Linked DNA regions of Cricetulus griseus. The protein of the gene in region 1 interacts with the protein of each later gene in a biochemical or structural test. Links are inferred from orthologs where the notes say so. Each region holds a gene or a part of one and is shown on either strand. Other genes may lie near its edges.

The links.
Region 2: of the proteins of Lck (region 1) and Ptprc, one has a biochemical effect on the other in vitro, tested with the Homo sapiens proteins (5 studies listed by BioGRID and IntAct, with this or other methods). The link is inferred for Cricetulus griseus from reciprocal best matches to the Homo sapiens genes LCK and PTPRC.
Region 3: of the proteins of Lck (region 1) and Ptpn22, one has a biochemical effect on the other in vitro, tested with the Homo sapiens proteins (3 studies listed by IntAct, with this or other methods). The link is inferred for Cricetulus griseus from reciprocal best matches to the Homo sapiens genes LCK and PTPN22.

What each region holds. Positions count from the first base shown.
Region 1 is NC_048595.1:23,478,264-23,482,402, forward strand, and holds the start of Lck (tyrosine-protein kinase Lck), read left to right. Parts: upstream 1-1,286; 5' UTR 1,287-1,292; coding exon 1,293-1,397; intron 1,398-1,818; coding exon 1,819-1,900; intron 1,901-2,065; coding exon 2,066-2,156; intron 2,157-2,435; coding exon 2,436-2,534; intron 2,535-2,799; coding exon 2,800-2,903; intron 2,904-3,169; coding exon 3,170-3,319; intron 3,320-3,567; coding exon 3,568-3,720; intron 3,721-3,850; coding exon 3,851-4,030; intron 4,031-4,139. UniProt on the Homo sapiens protein: Non-receptor tyrosine-protein kinase that plays an essential role in the selection and maturation of developing T-cells in the thymus and in the function of mature T-cells. Plays a key role in T-cell antigen receptor (TCR)-linked signal transduction pathways.
Region 2 is NC_048598.1:51,232,745-51,236,390, forward strand, and holds part of Ptprc (receptor-type tyrosine-protein phosphatase C), read left to right. Parts: intron 1-488; coding exon 489-549; intron 550-1,849; coding exon 1,850-1,958; intron 1,959-2,614; coding exon 2,615-2,649; intron 2,650-3,646. UniProt on the Homo sapiens protein: Protein tyrosine-protein phosphatase required for T-cell activation through the antigen receptor. Acts as a positive regulator of T-cell coactivation upon binding to DPP4.
Region 3 is NW_023276806.1:53,075,331-53,079,510, reverse strand, and holds the start of Ptpn22 (tyrosine-protein phosphatase non-receptor type 22), read left to right. Parts: upstream 1-1,234; 5' UTR 1,235-1,346; coding exon 1,347-1,433; intron 1,434-4,180. UniProt on the Homo sapiens protein: Acts as a negative regulator of T-cell receptor (TCR) signaling by direct dephosphorylation of the Src family kinases LCK and FYN, ITAMs of the TCRz/CD3 complex, as well as ZAP70, VAV, VCP and other key signaling molecules.

The DNA.
Region 1 (4,139 bases):
GGCTGTGTGTGTGTGTGTGTGTGTGTATGTGTGTGTGTCACTATAGATTAAAAGACTGAGCTGGGCAATGGTGGCACATGCCTTTAATTCCAGCACTCAGGAGGCAGAGACAGGTGGATCTCTGTGAATCCGAGGCCAGTCTGGTCTAACAGAGTGGGTTCCAGGACAATAAGAGCTGTAACACAGAGAAACTCCGTCTCCAGAACAACAACAACAAAAAAGACTGAAAGATGTAGTAGGTCTTCCTTAATATCAAAGTGGTCAAAAGCATGATATTGTACACCTTGATTAATCCCTAGCACTCACAGGCAGGCGTATCTCTGCAAGTTCGAGGCCAGCCTTGTCTGCACTGGTCTACATGGTGAGATGCAGGCCTGCAGCTCAGCCATGGCTACATATGTAAGACTTACCGTTAAAAAAAAAAGAAAGATTTGAATCTCCTGCTCATAGTAAATCATTCTCTGAGGACCAATGCTCTCCAAGCAGTTCCGAGGTGGTAACAGCTTTAGGGAAGGAGGTACACAGACAGGGATTCCAGAGGCTTCAGGGGGAGTCCCCACTCTGACTTGATTAGAACAGCTCTACTTCATTTGCTGCGTCTTTGAGGTTCTGCTTGACTTCATTTGACAAAAGTTTCCACAGCTCAGACAGGCAAGCAAAAGCTGCTACAGGCAGCAGAGCGACTGAAGGGTTTCCTTCTGCTGGTGAGAAGCAAAAGCATGTTAGCAGAAACAGTCTGAAGGAGCCTGTGCTGTGAGTGGGGGTGGGGTGCTGGGGGCTGGCAGAGGTCAAAGGTTGACTCCAAGGAACAGGAGCCTCTCAGCTTCAGTATCTAGGCAGCGGCCTTGAAATTATAGGGACATGCATCCTCCTTGGTGGAGGAGGGTGAAATCAAAATTTAGGTTTCCCCCGGGGCTTGGCCCAGTGTGTGTGATGTCTCCCAGGTAATCCCTCCAAAGTAGGGAACTAGCAGGCCTGAGGAGGCAGGAAGTGGGTAACTACACTAACAAAGGTGCCTGTGGCGGTTTGCCCACCCCAGGTGGGAGGGTGGGGACTCGATTTGGGCCTGGGCCTCCTGTGAACTTAGTTGTTGCTTGAGGGCTCAGAGTGAACCAAATCAGGATCTAGAATCCCACATTTTGGCTCTGGCTCTTCTATATGGCCAATGGGAGCCCCAGAGCAGACAGTCTCAGGAGTTCTGTAAACTCCAGGGCAATACTCTAGGATGTCTGATGCTGGGGGAACCGACTTAGGGGAGCTCCTTCAGGCCTCTCTACGTTCTTTCAGGGATCATGGGCTGTGGCTGCAGCTCAAACCCTGAAGATGACTGGATGGAGAACATTGATGTGTGTGAAAACTGCCATTATCCCATAGTTCCACTGGACAGCAAGACCACGGTAAGAGGAAGACGGAATGGGTAAAGGGAGGCTGTGTGACCAGGAGGAAAAAAAAAACAAAGCAAATGAATCATAACTAAAGGTCCTGGAAATAGCCAGGTGGTGGTGGTGTGTGCCTTTAATCCCAGCACCTGAGAGGCAGAGGCAGGTATATCTCTATGAGTTCAAGGTCAGCCTGGTCTACAGAGTGAGTTCTAGGACAGCCAGGGCTGTTGCACAGAGAAAGGTACTGGAAATAATAGAGAACCCATGTCCGCTGGAGTACAGTAAGGAAGACATCAGAGAGCAGAACGGACCTTCCTAAGGTCAGGTGCACACAGAGCTGGTGAATCCAGAGAGAAGGCTGGAAAAACGGAAAGAGCAGAGGTGAGGGGAGCCGGGTCAGAGAAAAATGACCCAAGCCTCATTTCCTACTCCACAGCTGCCCATGCGGAATGGCTCTGAAGTTCGGGACCCACTGGTCACCTATGAGGGCTCCATCCCACCAGCCTCCCCGCTGCAAGGTGACTCCATCCAGCAGGGTGTGAAGCCTGTGGATGGTTGGCCGTTGGTGTCCATACCCTCTGTACCTACCCTCAGCCTTGTCTGCATCCTGCCCTGTGCCCCTTGAACTCCATTGTTCCCGTCAGCCCTGGGCTGCTGCTTCTTGACTCTTCGTGTCTTTACAGACAACCTAGTTATCGCTCTGCACAGCTATGAACCCTCCCATGATGGAGATCTGGGCTTTGAGAAGGGTGAACAGCTCCGAATTCTGGAGCAGTGAGTATCCTTCTAACCCACCTTGCCGTGTGTGTGTGTGTGTGTGTGTGTGTGTGTGTGTGTGTGTGTGTGTGTCTGTCTGTCTGTCTGTCTGTCTGTCTGTCTGTCCGTCCGTCCTCAGCCCTCCTACATCCCTGACAGGCCTCAGGTGAGGGCTTTTGGAATAAGGTAGAAAGCACTAGAATGATCATACCAGGGAGTGGTGGCCTGGCCTAACTGGGAACTCTGAGGGTTTCCAGGGCCTACGTAGGCCATGCTGATGGTCTCTCTGTGGCGCAGGAGCGGTGAGTGGTGGAAGGCTCAGTCCCTGACCACCGGCCAAGAAGGCTTCATCCCCTTCAACTTCGTGGCGAAGGCAAACAGCCTGGAGCCTGAACCGTGAGCACGGGACCGTGTGGGAATGGAGGAGAACATCTAGGGATCTCAAAGAAGGGCGTGGTCTTGGGGGTGGGGGATGTTTGCCAGTGATGGAGGGATAATTGACCAACAAGCCAGGCAAGCCTTTAATCCCAGCACTCTGGAGGCAGGGGCAGGGGCAGGCAGATCTTTGAGTTCCAGGTCAACCAAGGCTGCAGATTTAAAAAAAAAAAAAAAAAAAAAAGAGTCGACCAACAGCCAATGGTCTTTCTTCTGCTCTTTGTAGCTGGTTCTTCAAGAATCTGAGCCGTAAGGACGCTGAGCGGCAGCTTTTGGCGCCTGGGAACACGCACGGATCCTTCCTGATCCGGGAAAGTGAAAGCACCGCGGGTAAGAGGCAGGACCCTGTGGGCGGGGCCTCTGCTTGTGGGCGGGGCTTCGAGTTGAGGGCCATCACCTCCCGGTGAGGAGGTGTGCGGGGGTGGTGGCCTCCTGATTTACCGAAGGCAATCCTCTCTCTCCCTCTCTTTTTTTCCTCTTCAACTTCCCTCCTCCTCCTCCTCCTCCTCCTCCTCCTCCTCCTCCTCCTCCTCCTCCTCCTCCTCTTCCTCCTCCTCCTCCTCTTTTCCTTCCTCCCGTCTCCAATCTTTCTTCAGGATCTTTTTCACTGTCGGTCAGAGACTTCGACCAGAACCAGGGAGAAGTGGTGAAACATTACAAGATCCGCAACCTAGACAACGGTGGCTTCTACATCTCCCCTCGTATCACTTTTCCCGGCCTGCACGAGCTGGTCCGCCATTACACCAGTGAGCAATGGCAGAGCGTTTTCACCTGTACCCACCCTAGCGGCCTATCTCCCCCCAAGTCGTTCCTAGGGACCCTCCAAGCATCGGCAGTACCTGACCCTCCACCCTGCAGGCTAACGTTGGGTGACAGGCTCCCCTCCCATGCCGGCCTATTTCCCCTGTGCCGAACGTGGAGAGAGGTAGGGGCTGGAGGGAGCACCCAAGGTCTCCAGCAGTGACCGCCTTACTCCTCTCCTCTGTCATTGCAGATGCCTCTGATGGGCTGTGCACGAAGTTGAGCCGTCCTTGCCAGACCCAGAAGCCCCAGAAGCCGTGGTGGGAGGATGAATGGGAGGTTCCCAGGGAGACACTGAAGTTGGTTGAGCGCCTGGGAGCTGGCCAGTTTGGGGAAGTGTGGATGGGTGAGTGTGGAGGTCAGAACTGATTGGAAAGAGAGGAGGAGATGTCACCAAGATGTGAGACACTGGCCTCTTCAGGGCAGCGACTAGTTCAGGGATCTCTGCAACTCCCTCACCCGCAACCCACCTCCAGGGTACTACAACGGGCACACGAAGGTGGCAGTGAAGAGCCTGAAGCAAGGGAGCATGTCCCCCGATGCCTTCCTGGCGGAAGCTAACCTCATGAAACAGCTGCAGCACCAGCGGCTGGTCCGGCTTTACGCAGTGGTCACCCAGGAGCCCATCTACATCATCACAGAATACATGGAGAACGGTGGGTGTCCCTGCTATGTCTAGCCGCTTGAAGGCGCTGTTGTCGTCCACTGTCTTTTGCACCCGGGGTAGGAATGTGCTTGTTCCTGCTCTGCTGCTGAGGGTTTCTA
Region 2 (3,646 bases), on another chromosome or scaffold:
CAACCCCTTCAGTGTCCTTTCCTATCAAGCTTATTTTCTGTATTTGTATTAAATTTTGTGAGTTGTAGGCATTTATGCTAGTTATTTCCACACTGGCATTTGTTCATGTCTTTTACCCATGCACATTCCACACCTGTCTCTTGTAAACAGCAGATTTACTTTAAAAATAAAATGTGAACCTACTAGCATATTAATAGACAACTTTCCTTTTGTCATTTACTCTACCTTGAAATTGTTAACTCTGGATTTTATTTCTTGAACTGTGTTCTTCCATTTCCAATTGTTATTGCTGTCATTCCTAAGACAGGTAAGCCCCTCTTCTATCTTTTAGGCTGGATACAATGAAATAATCTTAAAGTTTCAGCTTTGACTTAGAAGTTTTTAATGAAAAGAGGCAGCATTGTATGAGAAATAATGTACATTTTACAATATGCCATTCACACTAACAGAAGAAAACTAAATTGTTTTCTTTTTCAACTGAAATTTAGGTCTCTTTTTACAATGGAAAGTATGAGGGAGAGGCAGTTTCTCAAAATCAATCAACATCTTGTAAGTCATCCTGCCCTATTTTTTTCTACTTCTATGTGTATGGATTTGCTTGAGCAGAGCTGTGCTATTTTGCATCCATCAATTGACTCCTTAGTTGCTTGCACATACTTTATAAATACCTGAAATTTTCAAAAACCTCTGAGTAAACACAGATTAAAATACAGTATAATAAAAATTTAATTAATAGATTTGATCACTTAGTCACTCAGCAGATGTTGCCTTCATTACAAATTTAGAGAGTATTTATTTACAGACAGGTAGTTTTGGTAGCTCCTTTAAATGTGACTGTGGTGTTTGGTCCATATATGTGCTACAGATGTGTGTACTGATTATACTCTGATTTCTAAGATACCTTATACATAGGGAGCATCATTATAGACCATAAAGCGCACGTATGCGTGCACACACACACACACACACACACACACACACACACACACAAGGTTTAGGGGTTATGAACAGCTACCTTTCTCTGTGTTCTACACAGCCCACCATTTACTGTAACTACACCATTTAACCTCGTTTCAGGAATTAAGGAACTGAGGTGCAAAGGTAATAGGATTCCCTTTCAGGATGTAAGAACTAAGGTTGGAAGCTCAGCAGCCTGGCTCTGGGGCTCAAACTTTGATGCCACTGCATGGGTTTATTGGATTTCCATTGTGTGGATGAAAAGGATGGCACATCACCCAGGATAAAGACATTGCCAACCCTGCTTTGCTCTCCTTTCCCTATGCTTGTGATTTACATTGATTCTTAGTGAAAATTCAAGCAAGGGAAAGTGTTAATCCTCACTGTCAAATGAAGTAAATTTTGTCTCTTGGTTAATTGGTTTTATCCCCCAGTGAGCATGTAAGAGATTTATCTTTGTGGGGTAGAAGCTTTTATGAATCCCTTAGGAGGCTACCCACTACTGTGCTCAATGATAAACTATGAGTTTCTTTCTGAAAGCTGTAATAACTGCATTACCTCATTGATCCCTTTAAAATGACTCTCTGAAAGGGAATTAAATCTAAATGATAGTTTTCTACAAAAGTACAGTATTTAATGAAAAGAAATGGAAGTGCTCATCTATATTCTAATTAGTCTCTTTAAATATAAATGCCCTGGGAATTTTGAAATAACAGAGCCCATCATTGCAAAATCAAGATTTTAATGTATTTCAACTTATTCTAAAATTTTTGCTTTGAGTCTTCACCATAAATGAAAAAAAATACTAAAATTCTAGTTCATGAAGGTCACTCACATTGTCTACCAAAGTATATGACATGATTATCTCTTGTGTGTCACTTATCATTTCTAGATAATGCTAAAGCACTGATTATATTCCTGGTGTTTCTGATTATTGTGACATCAATAGCCCTGCTTGTTGTTCTGTATAAAATCTATGATCTGCGTAAGAAAAGATCCAGGTAAGAGACTATTAATTTTGAATTAGGAGGCAATAGTAGTTGTAATAATTTCACAAACTGTTCAAAATGCATTAACCGAGAAATGGACTAGAGAAGACAGTATGAACTTCAGTTAATGACTGAGTTGGGTGTCAAAGACTTAACATGGAATTACTGTATTACTGTAAGCACTTATATTCTCTGCCTTTGCTAATGATATTGTAGGCTTGTTTTGATAATAATCAGCACAAAGCATGTGTACCCTCTCATTTAATCCTCAGTAGATGAAAGTAATATGGGAACAGCAAATGCAAAAGGAGGGAAGTTCTGGGGACTTTGTTTATTTCTTTGCCCAAGAAGATAAGTATTTATGAAAAATGGGAGAATCCATTTAACTCTTTCTCACTCTTCTGAAATTTACAGGCAACTCTTGATTTCTTTCTTTGCTCCCTTGGTTTCTTCACTCTCCCCAAGTTCCTGTTTTACCTCTCCCTTTTTCTATCCCTTTCATTCTCTATCTTCTCCTATTCTCCTCTAACCCTTCTTCTGTTAGCCTTACCTCTATTTCCCCCTTCACTCAATACATTTATAAGATGGTGTTTGTTCAGTTAAGTTGAATGCCAACTGAATTCCATGTTCCTTACAAATATAGAAACTCATCTTTCTTATTTTCACAGCAATTTAGATGAACAACAGGAACTTGTCGAAAGAGGTAAGTATAAATAATTTTTACTGATGAATATTATTTCTCTGAATTTGCATTCTCTTATTGCAAAATCAGGGATGTGTATTTTTAATTAAATCTGGACTTTGTCTATTGACACATGATGAAACAAATTTATTTTTTTCCAAAAGTAGCCATGTATGTGAAGTTTTCAAGGTATCACAAATACTATCCATGGCACTGAGAGTACAACAGTGAGAGACCATGGTCTCTGGGAATATAATAGAGGAATCCAAGTGTGTTAATGAGTAAGAACAATTTGGTAAATATTATAGCTGTTTAATGTACACAGTTCTGTATAAAGAAAAATGATAGACAATTGCCTGTGGAGGGTGCAGGAATTTGGTTGGCTAAGACTTCTGGGAAACATCAGACCAACTAGTGAGTAAGGAAGAATGGGAGAGCAGATGGTGATGAGGTGATAATGGAGGTAGACATTGTATAAAGAAAAGACATCCCTTATTTTATATAATTATTTTATATAATTATTTTTATATAATTATTTTTTAAGGTTTTAAAGACAGAACAAAAACAGTCAATCATTAAAGATATTTAAACTATGCTTATGATAATTAAAGTAGCTTGTTTTTCCATTATATAAGACACAGAATTTCAGAGCACTTCTCTATCTTTTGTTAACTCCTGTGTGAAGGGTTTCCTTCTGACAATGGGAGGTACCAAGTTTCTGTGCAGCAGCTTTTGGGATGGTTCTTCAGAGATCCTTAATTTTAGTCTCTTTTAGAGACTGTATCACAACTTGACACTTTATTTATTCATGTCTTTGTTGGTTAGCCTGCCATAGGTAGGTTGCAGAATTTGGGAAAGTTCCTCCTTTTTTTCAGTGTTTTCTCCACAGTGCCAGGGTGAATATATAGAATTAGTGCATGTGTCTGTGAATAGAAAAAGTCAACAAAATGACATTTATAGAGTGCTGGTTCCGTTAGGCTGTGAAAAGAAGGAGGAACAAAAGAGTGATCGTACCTGG
Region 3 (4,180 bases), on another chromosome or scaffold:
AAATTGAGGAAGTCCGAACTACATCTTTCCCAGTTTACAGACTTGAGACTAATTTGTAACATGCTGTTTGTTGAACTTCCTCCTTTAAAGATAATATATTCACTTGGGGTGAATTAGATCTTGGGTGGATTTGTACCCATTGAAGAGAGAATTTATGCAAACGGAGGCATGGAAGCTTTCTCTAGAGCAGCCTGCCTATCAAGGCACAAATGCCATGAGTAGGGGATGGCTTCCTGAAATGGGATGTTTTCTAAGACTGTGGCTGTAGGGCAAAAAATGTCAAAATGTCTTCATGAGAATCACTTCTTTAGGCTTTCTCTCTCCCTCTCTCTTTCATTCTTCCTTTCTTCTCTGTCTCTCTCTTTCTCTGTCTCTGTGTCTCTCTCTCTCTTTCAGTTTTTGAGGGAGAGGTCTCATTTTGTTGCCCAGGTGTCTCAAACTCCCAGACTCAAGTGATCCTCCAGTTGGGTGACACTCCTGAGTAGCGAGGACCCCAGATTGCACTGCTATACTCACTTCTCCCAAGACTTTCTGACCTAGAATCTGTATTACACTCGACAAATTAAATTTTAGTTTTCATTCCTTCACTGTCTACTAGCAGTGCGTTCTGAGGATAGTGTGCTGTCTACCAGGTGCTTCTCCTCCATAGAACAGTGCTCTCCATGTTTGTATTCAGAACCCAAATAAGGATCAAAGCTACTGCAGGTTTGAAGAGGTACAGAGATCAACACTTCCCTCTATGGGGGGCCAGTACTTCCCCAGCCGTGAGAGAGACTGCCTGCCTGTCAGAAGCAGTTGACAAGTTCTGAAGTAAAATGCCTGCTCTGACTTTGGCGACAATAGTCCAGGTAGAAGATAGATAACTCCAGTGTCTGTCTCCTTCCCTGTAGAGGGACGGCAGGTGCTCATCACCCAGGCCTTTGCTCTCCTGGGGAATGTGGAAAGGCTGAACACACCTTATGTTAGAGCTGTACTTCTGTCTGTTGTCTGGGAAGCATCAAGAGAGGTGAGGTGAGTACTGTGGAAAGCTGGCAGAGTCCCCCAGCTAAGCAGACCACAGTTTAATGTTCTGGTTAGCCTCTTGTTCGCTACATTTGAACTGTAGCCAGGTTTCTTTGTTGAGAAAGGAAGGCGCTAGGGCCCTGGAGGGAGATGATGGCTTTGTTGTGTGACCACAGAAGTTGGTTTCGTACTAATTTCCTCTAGGGCTTGTGATGCAGTCAGTAAACCACAGCCTCCAGCGTGCTGTGCTCAGGCAGCAGCAGTGGCTTCTTGGTGGTGTCTTGGCCATGACACACATTTGACATGCCCTCACTTAATTCACTCACAGACTTTTGCTCTGCGGCATGGACCAAAGAGAAATTTTGCAGCGGTTACTGAATGAGGCCCAGAAAAAGAAAATTAATAATGAGGAGTTTGCCAATGAATTTCTGGTGAGTTCTGGGATGTTTGAAAGAGGAGTTAGATGCACTGTTTAACGGTCTGCTGTGGTCTAACCTGCCTAGACTGAATTGCTGTAGGGACAAATTGAACATCAGAGCTTGGACTACAAGGGGTTGCGTGGGGAGACAACCTAAAAACATAACTTCTGTGAGTTTTGTTGTATCTGTGTATTCAGCATTTTTTTCAGGTATGCTGGTTTTATTGTTGTGTTTGTGGGTTTTTTTGAGTTTATCAGTCCTATGAAGGTATATACAGATGTATGAATATTAATACCTTTTGAGCATCTGGAGAAAGCATTTGAGTTGTGTTTTAAGCTTCAAATTACTCATTTTAATTGATACCAAAAAGAAAGAGACTAAGAGGAACTCCTCGTGTAGTGTTGAATTTTTAGACTCCCTATAGGATATCATTTGGATGACAGGCTTTTGAATTACACCAAAACTGTCATTTGCCACTTTATTCTATTTTCCCTTTTCTATTGACAAGTTTTTTTCTTTTTTCTTTTCTTTTCTTTTCTTTTCTTTCTTTCTTTCTTTCTTTTTTTTTTTTTTTTTTTTTTTGGTTTTTTGAGACAGGGTTTCTCTGTGTAGCTTTGGAGCCTATCCTGGCACTTGCTCTGGAGACCAGGCTGGCCTCGAACTCACAGAGATCCACCTGCCTCTGCCTCCCGAGTGCTGGGATTAAAGGCGTGCGCCACCAACACTCGGCCTAATGACAAGTTTTTAGAACAGCATTTTCCTTTTTTTTTTGCCCTAACTGGGTTTCTTTAACTTCTATTGTTTGGAGAAGAAGTGGACTGGGTAGAGTGGGAAGTAGAGACAACTAGGGGACACAGGAACAAGGTAGCCAGGGAGCAGGTGGACTTGACTATCCAGAAGACAATGGGTCTCCTTGTAGGGGAGCTGTAGTTGTCAATGCAGTAAAAGCTGGGCAGGCTATATGGCTCCATGTCAGGTACACTGGAGAGTGTGGGATCTGACAGACATGTCATGGTTTTGATTTTATTGTTTTGCTTGGTTTTTGTTTGTATCACTGTGTAGCTTATCTGCCCTGGAACTTGCTGTGTGGATCAGACTTGGCCTTGAACTCACAGAGATCCTTCTGCCTCTGCCTCCTGGTTTCTGGGATCAAAGGCGTGTGCCACCACTCCAGCCTGTTATGCTTTGAAATGCTTCTAGTTGGTGTTTTAGAATTATAAGAATATTGAGTCTTAGCCCTTCAACTTTTAATTGCAAAAAATGAATAAAATCTTTGTTTTCTAACTTACAAAATGAGGATAATAATATATAATATATGTCTTATCTACTCTCATTGGATTATTGTGTTGATTAGACACAAATAATTATGATAATTAAATACAAGGTACTATGGAGGTGCCTAGAGTGCTAGCTACTTAAGGCTGAGGTCAGTTGGACTGTGAGTTCAAGGTTAGCCCATCCAGCTTAGAGGGACCATATCTTGAGAAAAAAAAAGAAAGAAAGAAATAATTCATTAATATTTATTGAGCACTTACTGTATACTAACTTTGTTTTTTCACCCTAAGATATAGTAGTGAATAAAATGTCTTTGCCTTCCAGAGCTAGCATTCTAGGACCAGATATTAGATGAGAAAACACTCTATGAAGTTTTCACTGACTGGGTATCATGATTAGATATCACCGTAGGCTAGTGTATAAGCAGCTCAACTTTGATGCTAAGGTATTATGCCAACTCAACTTTCATATGGTCATGATGTCATAAAAATGTATTCTTTCTGCCACAAGTCCTCAGAGTAGGTTTGCCACAGGGTAGAGTTCCATATGTCTGCTTAGATATGTGGTTGCATTTTGACTGTTGTTCTTGAGTCAATTTGTGAAGATATAGAGGGGAAAAAAGTGATCTGAGTGGCAGTGTTAGCTTCTGTCTTATTTTTTTATTGTATTTTTCAAAACAAAAGACTGTATCTCTATATTTTAACCCTTGTAGAGGTCATTATAATCTCTCACCAAATTGTGGTAGCCACCTCCTGACCATGTTCTCTGCTTCTAGCCTTGTCCCACCTTCAGCTAATTTTCTTGGATAAGGTCTCACTAAAGTAGCCCTAGCTGGCCTGGAACACATTCTATAGACCAAACTAGCATCAAACTCAAAGATTCACCTACCTTTGTGTCCAAGCACAGCGATTAAAGATGTGCACCACCATGCTTAGTGCCCAAGTAATTTTTTAATGATATAAATCTGGTTATACTTTTCTCAGCTTAAGAACTTTTTACAGCTTGTTTTTTTTTAGCTACTTGTAATTTTTAGCTATAATACATATTTAGAAAACTACATAAAACGTGCGAATATAATGATAAAGGAACCATTGCCAATGCAGTCTCCACTCAGACGAAGAACTACAGTAGCATCAAACTCCAAAAGATCCCTAGCTCTCCCTTTCCCAGCAGGGTTCTCCACCCACCCCACCCCACCCAAGAGTAAATCACTGTCCTGGCTTTATATTAATCATTCCCTTGTTCTTCTTACTCCTGATTCTTAAGAACCTTGTTTTGGGGTGGTGATTAAGTGGAACCTCACTGTTCACTGACTCATGTCCTCCAGTGGAAAAACAAGAGTTTCACACTCAGCCCCACCTATAGGTTCAACTGAGACACCAGAAAAATAGCTTTGGGAGGAGAGGTATTGGGAAGTGGGCCAGCTTGGCCCAGGGAAATACTGCCATCAAATGGGAGGTTTTCCACTTGACTACTGCCCAAAG